4 linked regions of the Rhinolophus ferrumequinum genome follow. The protein of the gene in region 2 binds, or shares a complex with, the protein of the main gene of each other region. Links are inferred from orthologs where the notes say so. Each region holds a gene or a part of one and is shown on either strand. Other genes may lie near its edges. The genes, in order: GTF2F1, GTF2E2, POLR2J and GTF2E1.

Evidence for each region.
Region 1: GTF2E2 (region 2) and GTF2F1 share a complex: the UniProt entries of both Homo sapiens proteins name them as parts of the TBP-based Pol II pre-initiation complex. The link is inferred for Rhinolophus ferrumequinum from reciprocal best matches to the Homo sapiens genes GTF2E2 and GTF2F1.
Region 3: GTF2E2 (region 2) and POLR2J share a complex: the UniProt entries of both Homo sapiens proteins name them as parts of the TBP-based Pol II pre-initiation complex. The link is inferred for Rhinolophus ferrumequinum from reciprocal best matches to the Homo sapiens genes GTF2E2 and POLR2J.
Region 4: the proteins of GTF2E2 (region 2) and GTF2E1 are in contact, whole or in part, in a crystal structure (PDB 5GPY), measured with the Homo sapiens proteins. The link is inferred for Rhinolophus ferrumequinum from reciprocal best matches to the Homo sapiens genes GTF2E2 and GTF2E1. Residues at the interface, in NP_002086.1 of Homo sapiens: Asp159, Gln160, Arg161, Gly162, Leu163, Gly164, Gly165, Leu167, Leu190, Val192, Asn193, Arg194, Pro195, Ile200, Phe202, Cys208, Gln209, Phe210, Ser211, Val212, Asp213, Glu215, Phe216, Gln217, Leu219, Trp220, Arg221, Val223, Thr224, Val225; in NP_005504.2 of Homo sapiens: Arg16, Lys19, Tyr20, Val21, Arg23, Gly24, Phe25, Tyr26, Ile28, Glu29, Leu32, Arg39, Leu51, Leu52, Lys53, Phe54, Asp55, Gln58, Gly68, Asp69, Lys70, Phe71, Lys73, Thr98, Asn101, Val102, Val103, Lys104, Tyr105, Lys106.

The regions. Positions count from the first base shown.
Region 1 is NC_046301.1:57,926,584-57,934,497, reverse strand, and holds the start of GTF2F1 (general transcription factor IIF subunit 1), read right to left. Parts: upstream 3,016-7,914; 5' UTR 2,821-3,015; exon of another isoform or gene 2,742-2,820; 5' UTR 2,584-2,741; coding exon 2,572-2,583; intron 2,491-2,571; coding exon 2,444-2,490; intron 1,949-2,443; exon of another isoform or gene 1,860-1,948; coding exon 1,787-1,859; intron 1-1,786. Other genes in the region: adenylate kinase isoenzyme 1, read left to right, coding at 3,255-3,426, 4,586-4,785, 5,409-5,522. UniProt on the Homo sapiens protein: TFIIF is a general transcription initiation factor that binds to RNA polymerase II and helps to recruit it to the initiation complex in collaboration with TFIIB. It promotes transcription elongation.
Region 2 is NC_046287.1:67,078,081-67,085,594, forward strand, and holds the start of GTF2E2 (transcription initiation factor IIE subunit beta), read left to right. Parts: upstream 1-4,509; 5' UTR 4,510-4,775; intron 4,776-7,514. UniProt on the Homo sapiens protein: Recruits TFIIH to the initiation complex and stimulates the RNA polymerase II C-terminal domain kinase and DNA-dependent ATPase activities of TFIIH. Both TFIIH and TFIIE are required for promoter clearance by RNA polymerase.
Region 3 is NC_046290.1:92,243,696-92,251,379, reverse strand, and holds the start of POLR2J (DNA-directed RNA polymerase II subunit RPB11-a), read left to right. Parts: upstream 1-4,678; 5' UTR 4,679-4,775; coding exon 4,776-4,828; intron 4,829-6,002; coding exon 6,003-6,092; intron 6,093-7,157; coding exon 7,158-7,332; intron 7,333-7,684. Other genes in the region: RASA4B (ras GTPase-activating protein 4B), read left to right, coding at 1-50, 213-334. UniProt on the Homo sapiens protein: Core component of RNA polymerase II (Pol II), a DNA-dependent RNA polymerase which synthesizes mRNA precursors and many functional non-coding RNAs using the four ribonucleoside triphosphates as substrates.
Region 4 is NC_046285.1:46,086,476-46,093,881, forward strand, and holds the start of GTF2E1 (general transcription factor IIE subunit 1), read left to right. Parts: upstream 1-4,395; 5' UTR 4,396-4,524; intron 4,525-4,533; exon of another isoform or gene 4,534-4,882; intron 4,883-4,905; exon of another isoform or gene 4,906-6,187; intron 6,188-6,227; exon of another isoform or gene 6,228-7,199; intron 7,200-7,406. Other genes in the region: RABL3 (rab-like protein 3), read right to left, coding at 4,193-4,238.

The sequences.
Region 1 (7,914 bases), on a different chromosome or scaffold from region 2:
GAGATGTGTCCCCACCCCCAAGAACACCCTATACGCCCCCCCAGACTGAGCTGCAGATACTCCAAGCCAACTTCCTGCTTGGCAAACAGGGGGAGAAAGTTGGCACTCAGTGAATGTGAGTGAAGGGATTCAGGCAAGCCTTTCTTATACTACGTCTATTTTTGCAGCTTTTGAAAGTTTGAAATTATTTCCAAGTAAGTTAAAAAAAACAACAAGTGGGGCTGGCCCGGTGGCTCAGGCGGTTAGAGCTCCATGCTCCTAACTCCAAAGGCTGCCGGTTCGATTCCCACATGGGCCAGTGGGCTCTCAACCACAAGGTTGCCAGTTCAATTCCTCGAGTCCCACAAGGGATGGTGGGCAGCACCCCCTGCAACTAAGATTGAACACGGCATGCTGAGCTGAGCTGCCGCTGAGCTCCTGAATAGCTCAGTTGGTTGGAGTACATCCTCTCAACCACAAGGTTGCTGGTTCGACTCCTGCAGGGGACGATGGGCTGCGCCCCCTGCAACTAGCAACGGCAACTGGACCTGGAGCTGAGCTGCACCCTCCACGGCTAAGACTTACAGGGCAACAACTTGACTTGGGAAAAAGTCCTGGAGGTACACACTGTTCCCCAATAAAGTCCTGTTCCCCTTCCCCAATAAAAAAAATCTTTAAAAAAAAAATTTTGTTTAAAAAACAACAACAAGTAAAACCATTGTGGTTGGTCAGGAAAAACAACCTGCTTGGAACTGGCCCTCTTCTCTCTGCATTCGATTCTGGACCGCCCCGTGAATTCAGATGCCATTAAAGGCTGAGGTTTTCCAAATTTCGATCTCTGGGCAATTTAGCAGTAGAAATTATTTTGAAATGCATGTCTATAATTCTGCCCTGGCGCTCACCCCTCCATATCCAATCCATCAACAAACGCTGTTGGCTCCACTTCCAAAACACACCATCATTCAATCGCTTCTCTTCTTGTTTGCCTCGAGACCATCATCGCTCACCATGACCAGAGCTATCGCCTCAACCCTGCTTCATCTGCCTCAACCCCACAGAGATCACTTTACAACACCCTGTTTCAAACCCTTAGTGGTTTTTGCTGCAGACCGAAAGTTTGTGTGTCTCCGCCACAAAATGCATACGTTGAAACCTAACTCTCAAGTGGGATGGTATGTAAGGGTGGGGCCTTTGGGAGGTGACTAGGTCATGAGGGTGGAGACCTGGTGAATTAGATGAGTGTCCTTAAAAAAAAAAAAAAAAGACCCCAGAGTTCTCTCGCCCCTTCTGAGAGGACGGTGAGCGAGAAGACTGCTGTCTATCAACCAGAAAGTGGGTTTCACCAGACACCGAATCTGCTGGGGCCTTGCTCTTGGACTTCCAGTCTCCAGAACTATGAGTAATAAATGTCTATTATTATTTATAAGCCACCCAGTCTATGGTGTTCTGTCAGAGCAGCCCCAATGGACTGAGACAGTTTCCAAAGCCCTTTCCAGAGCTTCTGACAACGGGGGCTCTGAGCTCATCTACAGGTTGTCTCCCCTTCCCTTGCCCAGATAAATCTAGGCCCAAAATGCCCATCAGTGGGCACAACCCCTAAATATTCTCCTTTCAGAAGGCCTCCTGCAGGGCCTAACAAATCTTATTCAAAGTGATGCCCAGCAGCTCAGCCCGGGCCCTATTCATCATTTTTCGGCACTGGGGGAGTGCTGAGAAAACTAAGCCTTAGATACTATTACAACTAAGCAACTATTATAACCACCGAGTCCAGGATCAAGTTCTAACCCCTTTTGGAACAGGGACTTACTTGATTCCAAGTAGCGAAGTTGACTTTATCGGCTGCATTGAAGGCCATGATGTTGTATTTTTTGGTTGTATTTCTGGAATGGGCAAGAAGAGGCAGTGCTCAATCAATCCATCCAACAAACTCTCCCCAGTTCAGCCCTTCATGCCAGGCAATGATGGGAGCCTTTAATACACCCCAAAGGTTCCCAGTCAGTCAGCGGAGCCAGATCCATACTCCCAATCCCATATAGAAGAGACAACGATTTAGGGGAACCCGAGATGTGGGGATAATTTGGAACTCAGCCCTGGAGAGAAGAAGGGAGGGCAAGCAGGGAATGCTTCCTGGAGGAGGAAAATACTGGAACTGGATTTTTGGGATCAACAAGAATGCAGCAGCATTGTCAGCTGGGAAAAAGGTATTCCTGGCAGAGGAAATACTAGGCCAGGGGCTGCATCCTACTGCATATTAACGCACTAAGAATTCATTCATTCCTTCCATCACTCTGTTCAAAAAACAATGATGCCATAGATAGGCCTCAGCTCAAACCCAGCCCCGCCCTCAGGTCGCTGCCACTCAGGAGGTGGAATCACAAGCAGCGCCGGGAACGCCTAGAGGCTTGGGAAGGTTTTAATCCCTTTTTTGGGGGGTGGGGGGTGGGAGGTGGGATTTGGGACTTACTTGGGAACTCGAACGACATACTCAGTGATATTATGGCTGCCGGGGCCCTGCGGACAGAGAAAGCGAGAGGCCGAGTGAGGGGCTGCAGAAGCCGCCGCAGGGTCTCCTGAAACCCGCCACATACTTACGAAGGCCGCCATGGGCAAGGGTCAGCGGTTAGGGTCTGATCCGATCCGGGTCCTTTTCGTCTCTTCTAGGGTCCGCGACCCTCTGTCCGGGGGAAGTTGCCCTCGTGGTGTCGGGTCACTGGCCAGGATCGAGGACCCCAAGTCCGTGGTGCCACCGATCCAGGGAAAAGCTACCCGAAAGCGGCGCTCAGTCAGCTTTCCGCCTCAGCGGCCGCTGCTAACACGTCTGCGCCTGCGCCGCCGACTAACGTGAAAGCGAAACTCTCCCGCAGGCCGCGTCACGATGGCAACTTCCCCTCTGCCCCGGGCCCTTCAACGCGCTGTCACCTAGTTTCCCGGTCCCTTTCAGAGCGGCGAGGCAGTCCGCGTCTGAATTAAGTGCCCCCAGCGCGCGCACACCGGATGACCGCTTTACACAGGACGGCTAATCTAATCATGACATATGGGCACGCCCTCCCCGTGAGATCGTCACGCAAGGGCAGCGGGGCATCCTGGGAGCGGAGAAAACCTATCCACCCTCGCGGGCTCTCGGCGCCTTGCGCTTGCGCTGCTCCACTCCGGAAGTGAGTCCAAGGAGGCCGCGTCACCATAGCAACCGAGGCCTTCTCTGACGCGTTGAGACGCCGCGACTCCATCTGAACCTTTTTGGGGTTCATTTGCTCCCCCTGCTCCGCGGACACCCCATGATCTTGCTAAATGGTTGGGACAGGTGCCCTTGTGACGTTGAGCCGAGCCAGGAGAGATCAGGGCCTGAGCGGGGATGGGGCGCGACCACCCCACGGGTCGTTGGCAGGATGGGTCTGTTCAAGTCCAAGCTGCCCAAAACGGGCAGGCCCCTGAGACCCAAGGAGAAGGGTAATATCGCGGGATGGCTGGCTTACTGGGGGAAAGGGAAGGAGGCTGTGGAGGGCAAGAGGAAGGTACAAGTACCCCATCCCACTTGTCCAGGTGTGGCCCCCCCATAGTAGTAATACAACTGCGCATGCTCACAGATCAGCCATTCATTAATCGACTTGAGCGGTTGCTGTGCTGGATTCTGGGCACTCCATAGTGACTGTGCCAAACCAGCTCCCTGTCCCCTTGGAGATTACAGTATAGTGCAGGAGACGATCTCAGAAAACGGTGTCTACAATTCAGGAAATACTACAGGAAAAGCACAGCTGGCTCTAAGGGCTCAAGGAAGAGGGGAAATTTAAGCTGGGCCCAGCAGGATGCATACAAGTTGGCTAAGCAAAGGTGGAGGGAAGCAAGACACCAAAATTCCACCATAAACTACAGCACCCCGTAGACATGGCCGGTAGTCGTGGACACTCACTTAGTCCTCACCCTCTACTATATGTCAGGAACTGTAAATTACTAGAAATATAGAAATATAGGCACAAGTGAGACAGAAATAGTCCTTGTCCTCATGGAGTACAGTCTGGCAGGGAGACAAAGAAGAAAAAGTACACAAAGTCATTACTGATCGTGGCCTTTGCTGTGGAGGAAATTGGGTTCTGACACAGGGGATGATGATGGGTGAGCTGCAACCTGAAGGCACTGGGGCAGGGATTTCCTAGAAGTTAGGGAAAAGTTGAGGGGGGAATGAGCTTGGCAAGTTCAAGGGACAGAAAGGAGTCCAGGCCACCACTGGGGGCTGGACCGGAGTGAAGGAAGGGGAGGGTGGTATGGAATGCGTCTGGGGGATGGACCTGCCCCTGTCTGAGCCTCAGTTTCTTGAACTGTAAATTGGGATGTTAGAGTCATTGTGACACCTCCAGGAGATGCTGTGTACAAGGGCCTAGCCTGCTCAGGTTTACACCATCCACTGAACCCACAGCAGCACTAACGCATGCCATGCCTGGATACACCAATGGGCCAGGACACACTCTCAGATGCCACCCTAAGGCAAAAGTGGGTATGCCAGCAGGACTGTGTCCAGTATATGCACTAAGCTGTGGACACAATCGCATCAGTGCCCACTGACCCCTACCGGCACCAATGCGTCTCCCTCTTTCTTCCCTGGTCACCGCAGAGATGCTCAAGTCCCCCCTGATCATCTTTGTGATGGGTGGGCCAGGCTGTGGCAAAGGCACGCAGTGCAAGAACATGGCGACAAAGTATGGCTTCTGCCATGTGGGGCTGGGCCAGCTGCTGCGGCAGGAGGCCCAACGCGGTACCCGGCGGGGCCAGAAGATTCGTGAAATCATGCTACGGGGGCTCCTGGTGCCCACGGTGAGAGCTCATGGGTGCAGGGGTGGAGGGAAGAAGGGGCTACGTGGGGACGAACTTCCCGGAAAGGCCCTGTGGAAGCTGATGGGCCTGGAAGGCTGTGGCTCCCCTCCTTGCCACTGTTTGGCTGCCCTGAACCTCTGTGTCCCCATCTGTAAAATGGGAGAGCAGCTAGACCCACAGCAAGAGTCTGTGGTGAGCTTTGGATGACATCATTCCTATAAAACACTTGGCAGAGTTCCTGGTACTTATGAAGCACTCAATAAAATTAGCTAGTATTTTTTCCCTTTGTGACCCTGGGCACATATATCATTGGCTCCTCTGTACCTATTTCCTCACCCACAGAATAAGGTCACTCCAGTACCTACCTGTAAGGTGACTGTGATGAGCAAATGAGGCCCAGCCAGCCTGGCACACAGTAGATGCCTGTCCAGTAGACAGCCGCTGTACCTACTTCTTGTAAGAGCTTGTGGAGGCCCCAGGGCATTGGGCAGACTCGGAATCTTGGGTGGTGGGCAGGTGTTTCCCAAATTCATCAGAGGTCCAGACTGAGAAAGACAACTTGCCAAGGTGACCTCATAGGTGAGGGCCTATGGACAATGACCCATCACCCCTTTCCTTCCCAGGGTATCATCCTAGATATGATCAATGACAAAATGCTGTCCTGCCCAGAGAGCCGGGGCTTCCTCATCGATGGCTTCCCTCGGGAGCTGATTCAAGCTAAGGAATTCGAGCGCATTGTGAGTGACCCAAAACTGTGTGAGGGTGTTAGGGTGTAAGGCGTGGAGCTGTTCCCCCCTCCCTTCCTACGATGGAGATCAGAAGGGCTGAGACTCAGGGGAGAGGAGATGAACAGAGGGAAATGGAGTTTTGTATTATCAAGGAAGAGTCAGGTTGTTGGAAGCTTCTAGAACCCAGGTGAAGAGCTAGAGAGTTCTCTGAGGGCAAAGACAAAGTCATTTTAGTATTTCCCTGCACAGTGCCTGCCCACTGAGTAGCACGGGTGTTTAGCAGCATCTCTGGGCCATAAAAATGGAATATAATTCTTCGTCCATCTATTTATTCCCCAAATAGTCCATGAAGACAGACTCTGAACTCGGGCATTCGTGAGATAGGCTTGGTCCTTGCTCTTAGGATGCCAAAAAACAGAGAGATACATCATGTGTAAAACTAAACAGAAATTTCTCCTAGCGATAAGTGTAGTGAAGAACAGAAGACAGAATGACACCCTGGAGGGACACTACTTCAGTTTGGGTGGTTCAGATGGCCCCTTGAAGGGGGGATATTGGAGAGCTAGCTGAGAGATGAGGGAGGAGCCAGCCGGTGCTGGACAAGTTGGAATGAATTTCTTCAGGTTATTTTTACAGGTCAGCCACGCTGACTTTATGAAAAGGCGCATCCGGGCACCTGAACAGCAAGGACTGGAGCATTTGAAAATGGCTGAGCAGGAAAAGAGAAATTGAGGCAGGCTGTAGGCCTCCAGGTTTTTCTGGAACTTGCTAGATTCCAGAAGAAGAATCTAGCAAAAAAGACCAGGTGGGAATCAAACAAAGGTCACCCAGCTTGGGACAGCTGTCCCCTGTTGGGTGGGGCCCTGCCCTTTGTTCGCACCTCCATTGAAGCATTTCTGTGGGGCTCATTGTGACGAAGTCAAAGGGTAAGTGATGGGCTCCCTCTCCCGGCCTGGGAGCTCTGAGGGGAAAGGCTGGGCTAGTGGACTCCTCTGCCCTCGCCAGCCCTGGGCCAGTGCCTGCCCTAAAGTAAGCACCCAGTCATAAATGCCAGCTGAATGGACGCCACAAATGGCCACAAAGTCTCAGAACGGAGGCTACAAACTCCCAGCCCTCAGGCCCTATTCGATCCACCAATGTGTTCAGTTTTGTCTCTAGAGTGTTTGACCCTTTTTTTTAATTTTAAATGAGTGGCCCACTTTCAAAACTCGGGAGATGCCACATCAAAACTCCCAACTTCTCTTGATAATTGCCTGGGGCGGCCGGATGGCTCAGTTGGTTAGAGTGTGAGCTCTCAACAGCAAGGTTACCGGTTCAATTCCTACATGGGATGGTGGGCTGCACCCCCTGCAACTAAAGACTGAAAATGGGGACTGGACTTGGAGCCGAGCTACACCCTCCACAACTGGATTGAAAGACAAAGACTAGATTGAGGGACCGCGACTTGGAGCTGATGGGCCCTGAAGAAACACTGTTCCCCAATATTCCCCAATAAAAAAAAAAAAATTTAAAAATTGCCTGACTTGGCAACACAGGGCCTGAATGTCCCCATGGTAACAGCAACATGAACTCGTCCTGAGCTTGTTACTGAGCCCAGCACTGTTCTCCACACTCTGCATAGGTTAACTGTGATCTTCCAGAACATTCTAGAAGAACGGTTCTCGTACTGTTGGCATTCTGCTTTCTGACAGAGGGATTGGGGAACTTGCCTCGGGTCACACAATATAGGTAGTGGGGGCAGGACTGTTTGTTCAGACTCTAGCCTGCCCTTGGTGGGCAGCATATGTCAAATGAATACACAGGAAGCCCCGCAGGAGGTTTGGCCACCGTCTGCTCAAGGGACAGTGGGCAGAGCCAGGCAAAGCCTGTGGAGCTCCGATCATTGTAATCAGGTTGGACTAAAATGAACGCCCAGAGTTAGGAGGCCCATTTATCTGGGCCGATATTTCTCCCAAAGTGTCACCTGCAAACAATGATTTTAGGGGGCTCACGGAAGAACATTTACTATTTTTAAAACTTTTTTAGCCTTACAGGACATTGCCGGAATGGTAGAAAGGTCCTGTTGTATCCTTCACCCAGCTCCCCCCAAGGGCGCCGTCTTATTTGACCATCGTTCCATACCAAAACCAGGCTATTAGTATTCGTATGTATTTGTTTTACAGTTACGTCCACAGAAGTAACATTCACTCTCCTTTTGCCTTAGTGCTATCATTGCCTTAAAACAAAAAAGTTAAGTAAAAAAAGAAGTTTATGGAATTCAAAGTTTAAAATAACAGCGTTGGCAGTGAATCACCAATGAACGTTTATCCTGCACAGCCTCAGGCAAACTCAGAAGCGTCGTGGAGAGGCACCCACGTCACAGCCGCTGTCCTCACCAGGAGAGAGAAGGGTTTGTGGCATG
Region 2 (7,514 bases):
TGCCCAATACCGTTGAATAGAATGACTGGGATAAGTGGAAGATGACACTAGAAAATGTGTGCTGTTTGGAGAGGGTCTTGATGATAAATGGATGAGAAGATATTAGCAACATGGAATTGTTGATTGTTAAACGTTGAAGATTGTTCAAGGAGGAAAATGTCAAGGTGGGATTGGAAGATTAAAGTGAAAATAGCAAAAAAATCAAGAGTAGGATGGGGGAATCAGAAATGAGGCTGAGATTATCTTTGTGTGAGGTAATGAAGGACCTGCATTAGGGTGATTGCAGTGGGGATGGAAAGGGACATGTGTAAGAAAATGGGCAATGAAAGAGTCAACAGAATTTGTGCACTGATTGAACTTAGGACTTGAGGGTAAGAGAGGAGTCAAAACTAGCCCTGAAGTTTCCAGCCTGAGGGACTGGTGGAAAGATAATACCATTAATAGAAAGAGACAAGACAGGCAGAGAAACTGGTTTAAAGGGGGCAGGTGCAAAGTTTAGGACATGTTGAGTTTGTGGCCCCACTAGGGATCTGGAAGTTTAAAAGCTGGAGTTTAGGAGAAAAGGTCTTGGCATTTGTTTAAAAATTTACTGTTCTTTTGTTAAGATACTACTATATAAGTCCAAATTCTAACTATCCCTCTGAGTTATCCATAACTGGGTACTCTCATGTCTAGGTGCAGTGCACATGCTAATAACTTGTTTTTCTCAAAAAGAATTCTTTCCTCCCTTATGGGATGAATGCTAGAGAGGAAGCAGGGTCCTAGGGAGATTGTTTCAGGAGGGGCAGGCTGCATTAGAAAGTAGGGGGAAAGACTCCAAAGGAGGAAACACTATCAATGCTAGAGAAATCCAGGACAGGTGATGAGCAAAGTACTTATTTTAGCTCTTGGTTTGTGTGGATGTGGGCTAATTGCTTTGTCAGCTGTTTTGAGAATTTACATATCTAGTTCGTTGAGATGGATTGTGAGGTGAGGAGAGTTGAAAGGCAGTTATTACTTGATGGCAGAATGAAGTAAATTTATTTACTTTATCTCAGTTTTCCTCTTCCAAACAATTATGTAATGTAAAAAAATTAAAATATAAAATTAAGCCACTACATAAAAAAGAAAAGTTCTGATACACGCTACAACATGGATGAACCTTCAAAACATTGCAAGTGAAATAAGCCAGACACAAAAAGACAAATATCGTATTATTCCACTTAAATAAAATATTTAGAAGTAGGGCAAAGTCGTAGAGATAGAAAGTAGATTAGAAGTTACAGGAGGCTGTGGGGAGGAAGGAATGGGGAATTATTGCTTAATGGTTACAGAGTTTCTGTTTGGGATGATGAAAAATTTTGGGAATAGGGATGATGGTTACATAATATTAATCTAATGCCACCAAGTTGTACACTTTAAAATGGTTGAAATGATAAATTGTATCTTATTATGTTATATAGATTTTACCACAAATAAAATAGTAGAAAAATATCCACTGTATTGGAATTAATCCTGTGGTTATACTGAGTTGTGTATTTTGGGTGGGAGGGTTTGGATTGGTCATGAGAGAAGAATGTTTTATAAAATATAGAAAACATATTTCCCTCAAAAAGCCACCACGCTTTCTACTAAAAAGTATGCAGGGCATTATAAGCATTCATGAGATGAGACATAATTGCTATTGCATTAGTAGCTTGAATCATTCTTCATATAATTTGACACTAGCCACACCCTTCTGACCTGAAATACTAAAGATGCCAATATGTAGGTGGTTAAATTATAATAAAGGTTTGTTTAAGCATCAGTGGTGGAGACTGTGTATATCATACAAGTAGCCGTATCCCTATAAAGAGTTATGTCTCACAGCTTAAGGTGGGATATTTATCCAATGCCTTCCCTAAGCTCTGGCTAGAGGCTGCCCAGGTGGTGTCTACAAGGTATGATCAAACAATACAGTGAATGTTTAAATTAAAAAAAATGATCACAGTAAAAGACACATTGCCATTAATCCCCCTCAAATAACTCCCACTCGCTTTGAACACATCCCATCATTCTCGCCACTTTCTGAAGCAGTCCTGGAAGTCCTCTTTAATGAGTGTCATTAGTTGCACTGTCATGGCTGCCTCGATGTCCAGAATTGATACAAAACATTTACCTTTCATGGTCATTTTGACTTTGGGGAAGAGCCAGAAGTCGCACGGTGCCAGATCCAGTGAATAAGGTGGATGAGGATACACTGTAAAGTTTTTATTTGACAGAAATGACTGTACCAGAAGCGATGTGTGACACAGAGCCTTTTTGTTGTGATCATAAAATATAGTGAATGCTGCTGCCGAGTGCCATCCAACGGAAAGGCAGGGATCTTCAATATGAGAAGTGGCAAGTAAAACCTTAGTAACAGTGTGCGACAAGTTTCGACTTGTTTGGTGCAGTCAGGTGTGTGAGCTATGGTTGAGAGAAGGTGTGTTTTAAAGTGTGCCCTAAATCATCCTTCACCATGACAATGCTGTGTGTCACACATCACTTCTGATATACGGCAATTTCTGAATAAAAACATTACGGTGTGTCGCCATCTACCTTATTCACCAGATCTGGCACCGTGGGACTTCTGGCTCTTCCCCAAAGTCAAAATGATTCCGGACATCAAAGCAGCCACGACAGTGCAACTAAAGACACGAAAGAGGACTTCAAGAACTGCTTCAGAAAGTGGCAAGAACGATGAGACAAAGTGTGTTTGAAGCGATATGGAATATTTTGAGGAGGATTAATGGCAATGTATCTTTTACTGTAATAATTTAAACATTCACTGTATTGTTTGATCACACCTCGTATATTAGGTCTCTTACTCATTGTAAAGTAACCAGAAGAATGATAGAATCGTTTCCACAAGGATATGAAAAACTGGAATTTATATAATCACTAGGTAAAGAAACAATGAAATAAAAATTAATAAATTCATATAATACTGGCTCATGTTTCTCAGCACAATGCAATTTTAACCTTTGGGATTAATTTTTGTACTTGATGTCTGCTCCTTCTCACCATTACACCTCATCAGTTTTTTTACCAGTTCATATCTGGCTTTACTGGGTTGTAAAACCTCTGGGCCCTACTAAATTGTTACTCAAAGTTACATTTCCTGACGGTATTACATGAACATCAAGTGAGTTTATTACAAAATCCTCTAGAATGAAACAATTTTTAAGTCGCACAATCTCTTTTGGCTTTATTTCCAAGTTTTGAATAAAAATTTATGTGTCATCTCATTTAATCTTTGTAACAGTCTAATGCAAGTAACCCATTGTAGTACAGTTATTCCTTGATGAGAAAACCAACACAGGTTAAGTAACCTGAGTAACTAGTACTAAGTAATTAAAAGACAGCTACAGAATAGCTGAGCACAGGCTATACTGCTGCTTTGGGTTATAAAAGTGAGGGAAGGACATCGCAGAAATCTGACACTCCAATACATTGTAGACTGGGCAAGGCCCATTACCGTATTTTGCCATGTATAATGAGCACCCACGGTTTTGGCCCAAACTTTCAGGGAAAACTCATTATAATTTTTTTAATTCAAAATTTTATTAGTTTACATTTAGGTACTTGTTTTTCGTATTATAAAGGAATTTCAGCATTTATTTTTTTAACATGGTACAAGAAATTTTGTGGAATAATTACAAAACAGAAGAACAGATACAAGCAATAAGAAATTTTATGTACCGGTACAAACTAATATTTACCCATCATAGAAGGCCAAGAACTCTATCCTTGCAAGTTGTCATAAGTTCAACAAAACCGATTATCGTATTCCAGGGTACTATTTTGCATGCGGATGTGGTTATTGATTTCTAGAATTACACCTTTAACTCATAAGCATAAATAAATGAACGTTGATATAAATATGGAATTAGTACTACCCATGTATAACGCGCATCCTTATTTTTCCTTCAAATTTGAGCCAAAAGTGCGCATTATACAAGGCAATATACGGTACCGCTCGTTGCTTTATTCCTACCCCTTTCTGTTGCTTCTGAATCCGAAATCGTTTTCTAAGACTATTCACAGGTGTTGCGGTTTGGAGTTCAGAAACTGGGCTTCACGTCAGGATTTGCCTTTGCTAGTTGTGCTGTTTTGAGCAAGTCATTGAGTCGTTTCCCTGGGCCTCTTGTTTCCTCATTTGTAATAGAGCTAGAAGAATGTTCTCGGAAGTTAAAATTGTGGTAAAGTCACAAAATACCTAGTAGACAATAACTTGAAAAATTGCGTCGCCCTGTGGGTTAAAGAGATTCCCGAGCACGCTGGAGGAGGCTCTCGTAGCTTTAAATTTCCGCAAAGGAAAGATTTCCATCTTAGCTGCTGCTAACAGCCTCCCACCTACTAAGTCCCGTTCTCCACCCCGCCCCCAGCCCTGCTCCCGTTGTTATGGAGATCCGGAACGCCCTAGCTGGCTGCCGTTCCTCCCGCGGTACCCCTAACTGGGGGCGTGATGACGCACGCGCGTTCTAGGCTGTGAAGATGCCCCGTTGGCTGCCGGGACTGAGCTCTTAGCTAGTTCAGGAAGCGGCGGGCGGGGCACCCGGCCGAGTCGTCAGTGGTGCGGCCGCAGCCGCCGCTGCTACCGCCAGTGCGGAGATCCGGAGCTGGCGGGGCGGCGCTGGGCGTGCGTGCGGGCAGACGGGGGCGCTGAGTAGGAGCAGAAAGCGGCGGCCAGCGGGCGTCAGCGGCTGGCGGAGGCGGAGGCGGAGGCGCAGGGAGGCGGCGGCGGGTCGCGTGGGGCGGCCCACCTCGCTCAGGTAGGGGCTGCGGCCGCCGGGTGAGGGGCGCGGAGCTCCGGCCTGTTGTTCCTCGGGGGAGACCGCCTCCTCCCGAGGGGCGAGAGTGTCTTCCACCCCTCGGGAGGCTGGGTGCCGTTTACTACGCGGAATACAGTAACAACTTGTTGGGAGCATTGTCTTTTAGGCCGGAGGTTTTTTCAGCAAACTTTTGGGTTGTAAAGGGAAATTCGCAGTCGGGTGGCTGCTGGTGCCTCTTCGTAGCCCCCAAGTTTACCTTGGCAGTGGCCGAGCGAACCATGTGTGTGGAGTTTGGGGACCCACCGATGTCCAGCCGACTAAAAGGCTGTGATTTAGAGGCTCGTTCACGGACTATTTTTTAAAGCTGCCTTGTGGCGACCTGGTTTGTAATGATTCCTAAACTTTAGTTATAATTGTTTTCTGTAAAGTCCAAAGACGTTTTCCAAAACAAAACGCTGTGGCACATTTTTCTCCCACCTTTGCATTCTGTCACTTAAGATGTAAGCAGTCTCTTTTCTTACCTTGCCGGCTGTTCGCCAGTGGCACCTCTGAGGCTTAGTTAGGGACAGAAGCAAAAGAAAGTAGAAGGGTTGAAAGAAGTACCGTAGGATGAGACGGTGGGAAGAACGTGGGCTTTGGAGCCGGAAGACTGTGGCTTAATTTTTGCTTCTCAGTGTCCATCCGTGACACGTGGGCACATGAACTCCCTGAGTTGTGATGTTTGTTTAATGTACAAGGGCAGGGTGATGTGTCCTGTCTACCACACTAGTCAGTGCATGTAAAACTACAAATACTGAGTACGGTCGCCTTCTAACAATAGGAAGGGAAAGTTAGGCGGAACATGCGATGGTGAAAGGTAGACATGAAGCCGCCTGCTCTGGGTGCCGTTGAACATTACCCCTACCTGTCCTGGGTTTTAGACGCCTTGACCAGCATGGAGTAGGAAGATCTCTAAACCAAAGTACCTGGACCAGGATCCAAATATCCTGACTCCTAAATCAAGTACGTGTTCCTTACTCCACACCTGAAATGCTGGAAAAGGCCTTCAAGCTTTAAAAGGCTCTGGAAAATAAATCCTTGCCTTCAAGCAGCTTACATTTGAGAACATGAAAGCATCCAGCACTTCCTTTAAAAGCAATGAATAAATAAAACGTGACCTCGAGTGTTTTAGAGTTAGGATATTTGGTCCAAGTACTTCTTGCTGTGTGACCCTAATCATACCTCTTCACTTCAGATTTCACATATTAAAATAGAAATAAAACAGATAACCTATTTTCTACTGGAGATGTGAGGATCAAATGCTGTAAGCATTTAGATCTTTGTAAACTGGAAGGCTTTTATTTATGTGTTATGTTAAAATCATGATTAAAAGCCTGGGTTAATTACCTTGTCTTTACAAGGTGAAATAAACAGGTGTTTCCTGTTTTGGGCTAGTCGCCCCCCACCGTATCACTTGTGAATTCTCTTGTCCCTCGCTGCCCCTCTCCCCAAGACTGTCTCCTATCTTCCTTACCCCAGTATAATCATTCTGTTCATTTCTTTTCAGATCCAATAAAATAGTAATACTGAAATAACATTTGTATAGTTTTACTATTTGAAAAATCGCTTTCTCGTTTTATTCTTACAATTGGGCTAGATGTAGACAGCGTTGGTAGTATCCTCATTTGACTTACAATAAAACTGAGTTTATGAATCGCCCAGGGTCATGTTACTGTTGGGGATTAGAACTGAGAGGGAGAACGTCTTTGATTTGAGGTCCAGTGCCAGTGACTCTTCCTTTCTTACTTAACTGGTTTACTCTGATTATTTATTATCAGTGCTTATATTTTTAACTTTTAGCATGCTAAATCACATTCATTTTTTTAAGTGAGGTGCTCAATGCTTTCATGTTCTCAAATGTAAACTTCTTGAAAGCATGGATTTATCTTCTAGAACCTTTCAAAGCTTGGAGTACAGTGACTCACAAACAGAAGACATTTAATAAAGACTCATGAAAGCAGTAACAACGAAGTTAGAGCAATTTAAAGATGTTTCCCTGTTCATTATTCACTTAACAAATATTTATTGAACTACCCCGGTGCTTGAAGGTTTTGAAAGTGTAAGATAGTGTTTTTCCTCTGGGACCTTCCTTCCCGACTTATGAACACTGGTCTCAACAGTGCACGAATCATTTGCATAGTCAGCTTGTATGCTTCCTAGAGTCTCTCTATAGGATTCTTGAGAGGATTCAGACAAGAGAGGAATGTTTTAAAATACTTGTTGAATGATCTGTGGCTTCCCTGGTTGTATTGAAGTGTCTCACAATTTTAGAGTTTTAGAACTGAGAAAAAACATGAAGAGGTTTAGTCCCACCTCGCTCCAAATCAGGAATTTTCTGTAGATATTTCTACCAAATATTAATCCAGCCTCTTCATCACATAATGTTGGAGAGTTCACCAGTTTTAAGATACACCTTTCATTTATAAGCAATTCTGATGGTTCTGTCTCTCTCTTTTTTTTTTTTTTTGCAATGAGCCTAAATCTGCCTCCTAATTTCTACCCAGTAGTTCTGATGTTTCTAAGCAGCATTGTAGAGATACAATGTGAGCTGCAGGTGTGAGCCACATGTGTAATTTAAAATTTTCTACTGGCCATAGTGTTTTAAAAAGTTAAAAAGGGGAAATTAGTTGTATTTAATCCAGTATATCCAAAATATTATCACATTAACATGTAATCAATCTAAAATATCTCGTTATTAAT
Region 3 (7,684 bases), on a different chromosome or scaffold from region 2:
GCTGAGTACCAGCACAGAGGCAGGCTCTGTGCCCACAGGCCCTGGCGAAGGTAGGTCCCTCCCATCTGGACTCTCAGGGTGGCCTGAGCCCCCTTCAGGGATGCTGTGTGTGGGGCTCCTGAGGGCCACTCCCAGGGGCCCTTTGGTCTTGGAGACAGGCACTGGCAGGCGAGGCCGTGCCTGCCTGACCCTCACTCTTCGTCTGCCTCCAGCCCTCGAGGACCCACTGGCCCAGATGCTGCAGGTTCTACAGGATCTCCAGGAGGCCCATAGCCGCAGCCCAGCCAGCTCTGAGCCCTTAGAGCCAAACTGCCTCCTGGAGCTACAGACGTGAGGTCTGTCCCACACTCTCTTGCCGAGCCCCCTGCCAGGTGCTTGGAGATCTCGGGTGCACTCTTGGTCCTTCACCTCAGTTCCTCTCATAGGGGTGCAGGACCCGAGTCTTTCCCGAGCTGGGGGAGTTTGGGAGGCCAGGGACCAGAGCGTCCAGACTTCAGGAACTGACAGGACTTGAGCCTGTCATTGCCCATGCAGAGTCTCTAGGGGACTCGGGCATCTGCTTCTCTGTGAGGCCTGGTTGCTCCCTGTGGGCCCTGCAGCCATCACCACCACTAGTCCAAACTCTCCAGGACCCTCCTCTCCTGCTCAGGATAGACCCAGCCAGAAACTATCCCTAGGAATGGCCGCACCAGGTGGACTGACACTTCCTGGGACTCAGAGAGGCGGGAGGGAACACAGGCCCCAGGAGACCAGGCCTGGACCTCAGCACCCACTTTACTCTCAGGCACCACCCTATCTGCTCCCTCACAGTGGCTGTGCCCTGGGAGAGCGTCACGGTGCTCTATTGCCAACAATAAACCTGATGTGACTGCGGCTCTGGGGTCTCGTGATGGGGGTCGGGAGGGAGTGGGCCCGGGAACCCCAAAGCCTGCTGGTGGTGGGGGGGGGGCACCAGCATAGTCTCTCTGCATCCCCGTCTCTTCTTTGCTTCCCCATCTCCCCTTTGCTTCCCCATCTCCCAGGGGGGCCTCCTTTCTCCTTCCAGCTGCTCTCCCCACCACGCCCCTGGTTCCCCTTCCTCCATCCCCCACAGGCTACAGAGCCTGACTTCGTTCACCAGCTGTTCTCTCCTTACAGCCCCCAGACAGGCCCTTTTTCCAAGTGTCCTGAAGACTGCACAGTGGGGGCGGGTTCAGAACCTGGAATCACGTGGCCTGGCCCTGGAAAGCGTCCCTTATGCCACCCTCCTTAGCAAAAGCAAGGCTCCTCTGCTTGTCACCTCCCTGTCCTCATCCCGCTCCATCTAGGTACACAGTAACCTCCAACATAATTAACAAGACTTGAGGGGCAGGGGCTTCCAGCACGTTCTTTGAATCTCATCCAACCAAGCTTCAAGCCTTGCCTGTGAATACTAGGCCTAGCACAGTTCCCAAGGGCCTGGGTCACAGGCAGGCCCCCTGACACAGCTGACCGGCCAGGTCCTGGGGCAGGGCCATCTGGGCTGGCTGCATAGTGGGTTCTTTGAGAGATGGCAGAGAAAGCAAAGGGGGCATGAAGGAACAAGGGGCTGCCCTCTTCCCTCTACCCTATGGCATTTGGGGCCATGGTGATCCTTTCTGGCCACAGCCTTGATGGGGGTACAGTGTCCTCCCATAAGCAGCCCACCAACCCCCGCCCCTTTATATGTTCATTGCCTCTTGGTCATGATGCCACCATCCTATGGACCTTACGAGCCTCTTTGCAGGGCTAGGTACCCCCCCACACACACACCTGCCTTCTTAACCCAGGGCTTGGGTCCAGCGCTGGATGAGCCCCTGGTTCTCTGGCTACTTCTTTAGAGTCACACAAATCCTTGTGCCTGTTGGATCTTCTTGGGTTTCAAGGACCTCAAAGGAAGTGTAGACCCCACTGTCTCCTGAGCCCTAGTTCAGGGAGTGAAGGGGAAAGAGGTGTGCACTTGTTGACTGCAACAAGTAGAATTCTGGATTTTAACAGCGCGCATACACCACCCACTGGCAACGCCCACCACCCTGTCCTCCAGTGGACACCGGTGTGGACGTGGCCACTGCAGCCAGAAGGGGAATTCAAATGAGTAAGGGCCTGGGACTGCCTCCATCGCTCATGTACCTCCACCCACAGAGTCGCCTCTCAGGCTCCGAGCCCCGGATGCCACATTGTTTTAGGAAGCCACCTGGGAAAAAAGGGACAGAGGAGATGCCTGCCTGCCCATGGCACAGGAAGGTGCCAGAGGTCACACCTACCTGCCCAGGGATTCTATACCAACACCCCCCACCCTGGGATTGCCAGGTCTGTTATTCACCCAGAGCCTGCGTCAAGTCCCCCAGATGTCTTAAGGGTCTGATTGGACCCTCCCACAGAGCCCTGCTGCCCAGGAGGCAGGCTGGCAGCGCAGGGCAGGCATCCTGGGAAACCCTGAGTGGGTCCAGCTCACATGGTACGTGCATCTTTCATCCTCTGGGCCTGTCCTGTAGGAAATCTGGGCAAATTCCCACCAACTTCCTTTTGGAAAAGTGTAATTCCTGCCAAAACGTAATTTTCAAGTACGTAAAAAGAAATAACTTACACAAATACAGAATAAACGTATCAGATATTTACACATCAAAGAGGAAATGAATGTTTGGTAAAGCTGGTTTGTAGAGCACTTTGAGAAGCTAGGTATTTGTAAGCATTTTGAGGAAAGAATGCTACAATAGGGCAGGCCCCGTCGCGGTGCAATTCCCACAGGGGCCAGTGAGCTGCGCCCTCTACAGCTAAGTTGTGAACAACAGCTCTTCCTGGAGCTGGGCTGCCGTGAGCGGCTGACCGATGACTGGCGACCGACTGCCTCAGCCGGGGTAGGGGGGTGGGGGGGCACAGGCTCATAACACCAGCATGGGCCAGGGAGCTGTGTCCTACACAACTAGACTGAGAAACAATGGCTTGAACTGGAATGGGGGGGGGAGGCAAAAGAGGGGGGAAAATAATACTAGAATAAATTGTGATGTTAAAAAACTGGGAAATGGAGTTTTCTTCTCTATGGGATACAAACCTACAAGTTCATAAATAACTTCAGTTTGATGATAAATAAAACATCAAAGTCAAACACAGGTCCATTCCCCAAGATTAGGGATTTTAAAGGCCCAGGCATGCAAGTTTTGGTCATAATTACTCTCAGAGCACAAAAGTAGCCATAGACAATGAGGAAACAAATGGGCTTGGCTTACTCCAACAAAACTTATTTACAAAAACTTGGCAGGCTTGATTTGGTTCACAAGCCCTCACCGTTTGACGATCTCTGCCATACATAAGTAAGCCTTGGTCAGGCCTGTTCAGCCACGCTCCAGTGTTACACTGACAGAACATGCCACACACACCCAATATTTATCATCACACGTCCAGCAGCCCCTTTCGCAGTGTGCCAGGCAGGCCTGTCTTACCAGAAGATAGGAACGGTCACTTGGCCTCCTCTTGGGGCACACCAAAATTGAGCCTCTGAAGGCTCGATTCGGGGAGGGCTGACATCTTCTGAAGCCCAGAATCTCGTGTTGGTCTGGGAATCAAAGGGTGAGTACGACCAGAACTCCCCAAGAGAGGACAGACTTCCACAGTGGAAAGAAGGGTGAAGCCTCTGCTGGGTAAAAGTCCTCTCCCCACCCTGTCCAGTTAAGGGCGGCCAGCCTCGGCACCTCCAGGCCCCTGCAGTCGTGGCAATGGTAGCATCCTTGGTCCAAACATTTCCAGGATGATCCAGGAGGGTAGGGGTGACAACCTTGGGACATCATTACCCTCATTGCCTTCTATTCTTCACCAGTTAAAGAGGCCTCCACCCACTTGACCTGGAGAGTCAAGGTTTCTGTAGATCTCCAGTGAATGAGGCTTCCTTACCCCAGGGCTCAAGGCTTAAGTAGGAAATGGCCCTTCCCAGGAAATGGTAGTAAAGTTCCAGATTTCCTTGGGGGCTCCTTGGCTGCTGCTCAGACCTAGGAAACAGCTGGGAAGCTGTTAGGGCTCCAGTAGCTGAGACTCCAGCCCCTGTTGCTCCAAACAGCTCAGGTAGGGCCTGTATACTAAGCTGTAGTCTGCAGGATATCAACCCAAACGGACGGTACACCTATCCCTCGCAGCGCCTCTCACACCTCTATACACCTGCCGTCTCCCTCAGCCCTCACCCAACTGTCTCCCTAATAAGCTCACTAGGACACAAGCCTACTTGGCAAGCCAGTGACAACACAGCCAGGGGCCTTGTAGCAATCTGCCCAGGCAGCCTTAGCAGGGGGCTTATCCGTACATAGCCGTCTGGCTTAAGGGATGGATACCCACGAGCCTGTGAGGTTTCTGTCAGCCCCACCAGACACACCTATCCACTGCCCCGTGGCTCCATTGTCCACTCGGGGACCTCTTGCTGTGCACTCCAAGGGCACATTTCCGAAGAGGGATCAAGGGACATAGGGAGAAGAGAGGTGGAGCCCAGGGCTGCCGCTTAGCCTGCACGAGGAAGTCAGTGCGCAGAGCAGCTCCCCGCTCTCCGAGCCTGCGCCACAGTGCGCTCCCAGGGGGGCGAACGCCACAAGGGACCTTCGCGGCTCACGCGTGCGCAGAGCCAGCAGCCGGCCCGGGCCCTCCGCGCGTTCTCCCGCCTGCGCGAGATCCCCCAGTCCAGTAGGGGGCGCCGAGCCGGGCCGTACACGTGTTCGGCCCCGTCGGCTAACCCGGAAGAAGTCGCGGGAAAGCGCCCTGGAGGTAGTGGAGAGTCTGCAGGACGCGGCGGCGCCAGGATGAACGCCCCTCCCGCCTTCGAGTCGTTCTTGCTGTTCGAAGGCGAGAAGAAGTAAGTGGGCAGGGGAGGGTCAGGCCTTCGACTGTCGGTCGTGGGCGTCTGCAGAGTCTGGGGCTTCGCCTGCTCTCCTGCGGGGCGGGCGGAAGCAGCTGTTGCTTGAGCTTCGGCGCGCAAAGCGCCCGGCGCCTGTGTCTGCCAGACTTCAGGTAGTCCTGCCAAGCGGTGGGGACTGTTGCCTTTGCAGCTGAGGAAACTGAGGCTCAGAGAGGTTACGTAATTCCCCGGCACAGGAAGTGGCGGGTCTGTGTTGGAACCCAGAATGGCTGCCTCCGAAATCCTTTTCCCCTGGGATTGGCAGCCCCCTCCTCGGCTCCTAGCTGACCACCTTTATTCTCCTTGCTGAAGCCAGAAAGAGATGGCTGTTAGACTCATGTGCAATCTCCATTCGCTTGTGTAAAACCTTCATTGCTTGCAGGCTGAAGGAAAATGTAGTCTGCTGGTCAGACAGCCTGGGCTTGGCGCCTGCTTCCCCCGCGTAAGGACCCTTGTTTGGGCAAGTGAATTAATCTGCCTGAGGCCCACTTTCATCATCTAGAAAACGGGCTTATTACTGTATTGAATTATGAGTAAACCTAAGGGGAGATTAAATGAGGTAACTTATGTGAAGTGCTTAGTCCAGGGCTCAGCATCTAGAAGACCCTCTTAAACATTGGCTTTTCATTCTCAACAGCCTGGTGTGCAGGGCTCTATGTTTAGCCCTTGCCAGCCACTTCAGCCTCCCTTGAGAGCAGTGCTTCTCAACTGGAGACTATTTTGCCCCCCCTCCCCGCCCCCCAGGACTTCTGGCTATGTCTGCAAACGTTTTTGGTTGTCATAAAGGGTGCGCTCCTGGCATCTAATGGGTAGAAGCCAGGAATCCTACAATGGACAGACAGCTCCCTACCAAAAAGAATTATCTGGCTTAAAATGGCAGTGGTGCCAAGGTGGAGAAACTGTGCTTTAGGAAGAAGGAGCAATCCGGAGGAGGTGAGGGTCCCACAGAATCGGCGTGACTGGGCTCAGAGTATACACTAACTGCTGCTCTGAGTCAGAGAGGCCTTTATGGGATGAAGAGATTGCGACAGGCTTCCAGGAGGTGGGACCCGAGCCTGCCTGGAAGGGCAGGCTTTAGACTCGGAGGAGGAGGGAGCCCCTGCCCCCATCTCTTGCCTCTGCGTCTTCCTAGGATCACGATTAACAAGGACACCAAGGTACCCAATGCCTGCTTGTTCACCATCAACAAAGAAGATCATACGCTAGGAAACATTATTAAATCGTAAGTTCCAAGTCCAAGGCTCTTGGGGGCTGTGTTGGATGGGACTCTGAGGCAAAGCACAAGTTCCAGAAGATTTTCTTAAGTCTCTTTGAGCTACAAGAAGTCCTTCTGATGGCTCGCTCTGGCAGTTCACTTTCCAGTACCTTTTCTTCAAAGGTACTGGAATCTGTTCACATAGCCACATTTCCTTTTGGCTCATTTATCTGACTGAAGTGAGTGAATGAATGTGCAGGAAGCCGCAAGTAGGCCTGCTTGTTTTTGTGCCTTTCTCAGGTTTGCGTGTTTAGGGTGTGGGCAGAAGCCTGCCTGGTGTCCTGGTGTAAGTAGGGGGTGGGGTTGCCCACCTGTCTGGATGACTCCTGCCTGAGCCAAGCCAGTGGGGCACTCAGGGTCTTTGGGGGCCTTGCTGCTCCTCTGCTGTGAGCTGTGTCCCTACCTTGCAAGGTGCTCACACTTGACACCTTGCTCTGCAGAAAACACCCGCGTGTCCAGCAAACAGCACAGGCTTCACCTCACCACCACCTCACAGAACAGCACCCCACGGGTGTGGGCAGCTGCCAGCCCCTTCCAAAGGACTTCGGTTTCCATTTTGCTAACTGCTCAGAGCTTGGGGCCTTCTCCCCCTGCTGCCTTTGTTTGCCGTGCCAGAGGCTCTTTTGGGGCTAGGAACGGGCCTTTTGTGTTTTGGTTTACTGAACATTGGCTGGATTTTTACTGCCTAGGGAGGTCTTTTTGGGGTCATTGCAGGGTCCCTGACTTCCCCTCGGGAAAGAAGTTACTGGAAAACCTGTTTATTAGCTAAGGTTCCTGATCCTGATGGATGTAGGGGTGTGTGTGGGAGGAATCACCATATGGTATATCTTCTCCAAAGTTAGCTTTTACTTGAAGACTTTTTTGGCGGGGGGCAGGGGGACAACTAAAAACCAAGTGTAGGGAACCACCTAGTGTCAGCCCCCAGCCACATCTGCAACAGGAAGACCCCTTGGCTAGGCCTGGTAAGCTCCAAGGGGCCAGAGCGCCAGGGGCACTCGGCTCAGCCTTGCTCACTGCTGACCCGTGTCGCAGGCAGCTGCTGAAGGACCCCCAGGTGCTGTTTGCTGGCTACAAAGTGCCCCACCCTCTGGAGCACAAAATCATCATCCGCGTGCAGACCACCCCGGACTACAGCCCCCAGGAGGCCTTCACCAATGCCATCACAGACCTCATCAGCGAGCTCTCCCTGCTGGAAGAGCGATTCCGGGTGAGGAGCTGGACGTGCAGGGGGAGAGGGGAGGTGGGAACGCCAGCCTGTGTGCCCAGAGCTGCAGGGCTGTCGTGCCCACACCTAGGACCACCCAGGGTTGTTTCCTCGGACTTGTGTGGGGGGAAGGGGTGATGACAGCAAGGACTTCCCCCACTGCTTCCCGGAAGTGTGGAGAAGGGGTTAGGAGTTGAGGCATGGCGCCTGCTGTCGGCGTCCGTGCGCAGGAACGGACCTAGTGCTCCAAGGTCTCCTTGTGCACTCTTGGGGTCCCTGCTGCCCCCTGCTGCTGCTCCTCCAAAGCTCTTCGCTGGTGCTGGCCGCTTCTAGGGCATCTGTCTAGGGGGCAGCT
Region 4 (7,406 bases), on a different chromosome or scaffold from region 2:
TTTCACAGTTCCATATTTAGATACCCCAATTCTCTCAGACAGTGATTTTTAAAAGGAAGCTAACCACATGGCCTAGCTTTACCCTTTGGAAAAAGAGAACTCTCCTCCTTATCACTTACGTTTACTTTTTATTATAAAGTTACATTTACAGACAATCCAGAAAGTATTTTTAAAAAAGGGAAAAATCACCTGACGAGCACTATTGTCAACATAAAGGTTTATTTAATTCCATAAGCACGGTTTTTCTTTTTTCCTGTTTATATTATTTGTTTTTAAAAATATTTTTATTAAAAATATAGCTAACATACAATATTATATTAGTTTCAGGTGTACACCACAGTTATTCAACATTTATATACCTAACGAAGTAATCACTCTGATAAATCCAGCAACCATCTGACACTATACTAAGCTATCACGATATTATTGACTATATTCCTCATGCTGTACATTACATCCCCATGACTTATTTGTTTTATACCTGAAAATCTGGACCTCTTATTCTCCTTCCTCTTTTCTCCCCTTTAAAAATTTTTCAATTACAGTTGATATTCAATATTATTTTATATTAATTTCAAATGTACAGCATAGTGGTTAGACATTTATATAATTGAAGAAATGATTTCCCTGACTAGCTTAGTACTCACCTGGCATTATCCATACTTATTCATAAGCAGGGTTTTTCTATAAGCAGGTTGTTATTGTGAATATATACAGTGTACTTAAAAAATAATAAAACATAAGCTTTTGTTTTCACAGCTGGTTCTGTCTGGAATATTCTACCCATCCCCCTCCTCCATTTCTCCTCCATTGGCCTGCTGAATTAATCTGTCAAGACTCAGCATCACTCTAGTTATAAAATCTTTTCTGACTCCACACAGGTAGAACTAAGCACATCATCCACCATCCTCAGGGTCTCCACTGTACTTTCTACATTTTTCTATAGAACACTTAAAATAGATTATTACACTAGTTTATAGGTTTTATTCACTCTGTTTAGTTTTAATTTTCTTGACGATTGGCACTGGGTTTTACTCATCTTTTTTTTTTTTTTAAATTTCTAGTACTCAGAATAGGGCCTTAATTAGTATTTATTTAGTGACTAAAATTTTCCATGTTATTACAGAATCTTCCTAAACATGTTAAATGTCTCCAATTTAACCATTCCCTCATTATTCAATACTTAAGGGGTTCCGAAATTTTCACTATGCTAAGAAAATATTTCTGTTTAAACTTGTTTAAAATTAAAATTATTTCCATAGTATACCTTCCCAGAAGTGAAATTAATATGTAAAAGGAAATAAACATTTAAAGTTCTTGATATATACTGACAACTTTCATCTGGTTACTCTGCCATCAGCCTGCATCACTGGATGAACTCTATAAACAGCAAGGTCTTGTTGCATCTCAACAATATCATCTATTTGTTTTTTTCATCTTTATTAATTTGATAAGAGGAAAAAAAGTGACATCTTGCTTTAGTCTGCATTTCTTTACCCCTTGGTAAAGATACACATTATGATCATCTTTGCTAATCAGTTATCTTTCCTCTCTTACGAATTATCTATCTACTTATCTACTGGGTTTTAGTGTTATCAATTTACATGGCCTCTTTATGTATTAGCGGTCTCATGTAATTGGGTTGGTGCAAAAGTAATTGCGGTTTTTGCAATTATTTTCAATCTTGTAAACTGCAATTACTTTTGCACCAACCTAATATTTCCCCAGATTTCCCTTTTATTTTTTATTTATTTATTTTTTTTGGAAACAGACATTTAAGATTTTTGTGTACACAAACATAGTTTTGTCTCTGTATTTATTACATTACCTCTGTGATCTTTAGGGCATATTGTTGACTTTTGTGTTTGCATGTAAGTTTGTTTATGTATATTGGAGGTATATATCCAGGCATTTAGTTATCAGCCTGGTGCAAGGCTTGAGCTTCTAGTTAAGCTTAACTGTGTCAGAGTAAGCATCTTCATGCAGTAACATTGTATAACTCTCCATGAATTAACTGCTTTGAGTGGTAAGAGTTAGTTAACACTGGATGAACTCGAAACAGTAAGAAAAATTGAAGTAACAGAAATAATGGTTAACTATTCATTTCTTTAAGAATTGTGGGAGGTTCTGATTCTATTTTCACCATTAGAACTAAATTATAATAGATTTAAAAATGCATTGATTTGCTGGGGGGTAAAAGGCCCAATATAATTACATAAATACTACTCCAAATATAGTTGTTGGTAATGTACTAAGCTCATCCATTATCGCTGAAGGAACAAAGAGAAGTTGGTACATGCATTTTAGTGAGACTTTCAGGATTCCTTACTGAATTATCAAATATCTCTATGGGATACAAGACAAATCTCTAAATCCCAAGTCATTCTTTTATATATTTGTGAAATCCTTAAGATTTCATGAGGGAAATAAGTCTTTGTTCAAAGGTAAACTTTGAAGTTTGAATACAAAGGCAGACGAAGTGTAAAAAGTATATTCTAACCTGGCAGATAGCAAATCACTGTTAAAAGAGAACTGATAAAAAGGCAATTGACTTTGTACACATAATCTAACATTAGTGAATGTGTGACAAGATCAATCACTTTCCGATGGATATGGCTGTGTCTTCTCTTTTACAACTAAATTATAATGAAAAAAAAAGCTTATTAATTGCCTGATCACTTTTCCACATTTAATGCAGCAGTCAATTCAACTCTGATATGTAACACATTGATTCCACAGTTATAACCCCAGCACCTAAAACAGTGCCGGCTATGTAGTAGCCACTTAAGTTTTAGAAAAAAAAAAATTGACTAGTTCCAATAATATGTAACATGAAAGAAAGGATTATTAGAGGCAACAGAAAAGGGAATTATAAAAAAGAGAGAACATCCACTTCAAATATGATGTGTTAGCTCTGTATTCCAGTTCTAAGTCCTACTTGGTGATACTCTTACCAAATCCCTTTAGACGTCTACACTATTACTTTCTTCAACTGTAAAACTGAGTGATTTTATTAAATTAACTTCAGCACCACTTCAAGCTAGAGAACTGTATTTTATTCATAGAATTTCATAATGCAACTTAACGAGAATTTTAAATAATGCTTTCTGTAAAATATTTTGTAATGTAAATAATCTTTGGGCAATGTGAAAATGTTCTCAACCTCCTCCTCAATCAGACAATGTTCTTTAGTGCCGTAAAGGTAGTTTTCAAGCTCTGGGGTAAGTGCTCTCTATCTCTAAGCATCTGGCACAATGTCTTTGCTCACAACACACTTTCAAAGGTCAACTCCAGAAAAGCACATCTATGAACTGAAAGGTTAGCATTTATTCCAAGTTCTAAAGGAGCACAGGAGTGGAGGCTATGGTGAGAAAGGATAGTAAGGTGAGAAGAGGGAATGCAGAATTCAATTCTAGTTCTCAAATGTCCAAGGTGTCAAAAGAAGAATTTTAACATTAGGACAAAACTGGGCTCAGCATTAAGTCCTAGCTACTACATAATATGGCCCTTACCTTAATGTCTCTATTTCTTACAATCTAGCACCTAACAGGTTTTCAATTAACATCAAAGAGAACAAAGAAATCAAGAAGCCCAGTAGAGAGTAAAACAGGACTACCACTCGATATTTCATTTCATAATATAGTTTAGTGTTTAAGTACGTGGCCTCTGGGTTCAAACCGGTTCTGTCATTTATATCTCTCTGCTTCACTTTTTGTCATCTGTGAAATGGTGTGATAGGGTTGATCTCGGGATTAAGTGAGTTAATATATGCAAAGCACTTAGAAGAGTCTTTTTTTTTTTTAAGTGCACGTTTGACTTCCTTAATAAACAAACTCTTGAAGGCACAGTCCTAACTTCTGTCTTAGCCCGGCGCCCAATACAATGCTCAATGTCTGCATATCTTTTAAATAAAAGGAACTGACAATATACACTAGGCTACGATCGCCCAGGAGATTGACGTTGAAAGACGCGAAGGCCGAGAAGGGCCGGGACTCCACGACCCCCATCCGCGCGACGCCACCGCTCCGTCAAACAGAGCAAAGTCCTCTGGGAAGTGTAGTCATTACGCCTTGGGAGGGATTTCAGCCACGGATCGGAGTCAGTTAGTTTGCGGGGCGGGGGGGAAGGGGAGTAGTAGTTATCGGATAACTCAAAAGTGTCGGGAGCCCCAGAGGTGGGTTAAGCAGCTCACCTGAGTCTCCCAACACCAGTACTTTCACCCGATCCAGGGACGCCATCTTGCCATTGCCTTCCTGGGGTTAATACCAGTTCCGGGTTGTAGGCCAATCAGAGCTGGGCATGGAGGGCCGAGCCCTCAATTTCATTGACCAATCAGAGAATGACCATCTTGATTGAAGGCTTCACTGTGCTGATTGGCCGGCCTGGTTAAAAGAAGCGGGTGGTTTCCAAAGCTGGTCGCAGGAATAAAGCGTTTTCTTTGTCGCTCGAGTGGCGTGACACGTTTAAGCCGGTAGTTGAGGCGCTGAGGGAAGCTGTAGTGGGAGTGTTCGAGGATTCGCTTTGGTAAACCTTGTTCCCTGTTTCTTGTTCTCGGTTCCCTGGCCCGGAGTCGCATTTCAGGGTTTCTCTTCCTTTTCGCTCCTGGCCCTTAGCCACCCTCCTCCCCTTAGCTACTCTCTTGACTTGGTCCTCCAAAGAACCATTGACCCCGGAGCGTCCCGTGTGCGACCTCGGGTAGGACGGGCTTGGCTGCGCCGAGTGTGGCCCCTGGACTCAGCTGGCAGAGTCCGAGGAAATGTGGGGTCTCGCAGTGGGGAGGAGCGCACGTTATTGAACCCGGCTCGTGGAGGGCCGCTGGGTCCAGAGTTCGCGGTGGTATGCAGCTGTATATTTGAAGGCGTGGAGAGTACCATGCAATATGGTAACTGAGAAAACCATTTAAATGTGTAGGATCCAAGTTATTCCACAACTGGAGTAGTAGTATGCTGAAAAAAATCTAACTGGACCTACCCCCCCCATCCTATCCTTTCTCCTTTTATTTTACACTCTGCAGTCAGCATAATCTCTTAAAATTGCGAATTTGATCCTGTTACCTGCTGCTTAAAACCATTTAAAGTTTAAGAAGAGGGTTTCCAGTAGCTTTTTCTAACTCTGGAAGCAGCAGTGGAGGAAGTAAATTGGGGGGAAGCTGTCCGGGTGGGCATGTTGGAAGAACGCGTGCTTAGGACATCTATTGAAAGTTTTATGGAAGTAATTTGACTAGCTGTGCTGGATGCTGGAAAGTCAGTGGTGAACAAGATTGAGTTCCTGGTCTCAGAAATAATCGGAGAATTACAAGGTTATTCACTGTAACGAAGAAGGTTGGGAAAGAGCTATGGGAACTTGTGAAAGGGGTTAATACTAAGCTACTAAGGCGTATCTGGGAAGGTCTCTTTGAGGAACTGTCACTTGAGCTGTGGAGGATTATTAGGAGAAGAAAGTTTAGGCAGAGAGAACAGCATGTGCAAAGGCCGAAAGTGGGGAAGGCGTGTGTGGCACGTGGAATTGAGATGACGCTGACAAGGGTAGACAGAGAATGCATTCATTTAAATTTTGTTTCTGCAACTGTGCTTGGTACACAGTAGTTCTTCAGTGATTGTATGATTAGAATATATATGATTTAAAAACAAAAGCAACTTGTCTTTGGGGGTCTGTGCTGGGTAGGGAGGTATGTAAGACTGCGAGGTGACTGAACCTCAGGCTAAAGATGGAAAAAAGGCTTCCCCTAAGAGGTCACGCACTTAAAACTTTCTAGAGGCTAGCCAAGTGACAGCTGCTTTTCAGCTGCAAGTTATCGTTTCCATGTGGGAACATGGTCTCACTTTTCCTCAGATAGTTCCAATTTTCAAGAGGAGCTGAAAATTGAGATTTATGTGAGATCCCACTATTTTAAAATGTTGACGACTGATTCAGAAAATTTTCAACAGTCTTTGGGTCAGACAGTATAGCAGAGGCTGCCAGTTAGAGACCTCTGACCTAAGTAATTTAAGGAATCCAGAGATTGAGTAGGAGGTTTAGCATATGTGGGGAAGTACAAGTGATGGAAGAGAGAAGGTATTGGTCAGGGAGGATTTTACAATGTAGAGATTTTGAACAAGATGACTTCTTTCCTGAGCTTCAATTTCATTTGTGCAGCTACCTACTGGATGGACATCTTCACAGGACTATTCCATGGTATTTCCTCAAAGTAGGCAACTAAAAGTGAATCCCTCAATTCCTTCCAAACCTGTTCCTATTCAGGCGTTAACCTATTTTTCATAGTAGTAGTTTTCCTAGTTACACTGGCTTAAAACAAATAGCTATATGTTATTGTTTAATAAAATATTGTTTGATGGTATAGTGTTTCAGTTTTATAAGATGAAATATATGGAGATGGATGGCGGTGATAGTTACACAGTAATATGAATGTATAATATCACTGAACCGTATGCTTAAAATGGTTAATTGGTAAATTTTATGTGTAGTTAACCACAATAAAACTATTATTAAAAAGCAAATATTTAAAATTTTTCTTCCCTCTTACTCCATTTCCAGTATATTACTAGATCCTCATTTTGATTTTGTTTCTGTAATAAGTTTCATTCCTGAAATTTTTTTGCTGTCTTTCTTAGTTCAGGTTTGATTATAACAGCTCCTAGTCCTTCCTTAATCCTCCATCTTCACTTACCTCAGGCCATTCCTCGTATTATTGTCACTTTTCTGCATAGGGGCTCTTATTATGAATGCCAGTACTTAATGGAACTCTTATGATGTTAGCCTTGAAAGCAGCATACTATACATGAATTATCTCATTTAATCCACACATCAATTCTATGAGGAAGGCACTGTTAATCACTTTTCACATATGAGGAAACTGAGACTGAGGATTTTCCAGGGTCACAGGCTGGCTAAGAAATGGGGGAACTGGGATTCACAATCCAAAACTATTGGACTGCAGAAACCTCATGTCACTCCCTGGCTCAAATCTTCAGGACTCCCTAAGGTGTTTCAGGCAAAGGAAACAGGCTGAGTAAATGGCGCAGGGTTCTTCCCATGCTGTGTACATTGGCAGGACATGCTATAGCCAGGTATCAGATTAGTCTGGAGCAGGGGTCGGGACTTTTTCTAGTAGAGTCACCTAAACAGCTTTTAAAATAAGATGATGCCTAATCTGACCCTCCCAGACCAGCTGAAACAGAATCTCTGGGAATGGGGCCCAGGTGAGTACTTTTAAATTCTCCCCAGATGATAATCCTTAACAGCCAGAGTTGAAAACCATTGGTTCCGGAAGATGGAGTGTATACAATGGGAGGTCAGGGAGGGGAATGCAATAGTAGGAAATAATACTGGAAAAATAGGTTATTTTGACGTTTGTCTGCCATTCTTTGATCTGTTGGGTATTTCTGAAGCCATATGTTATGTGCCGC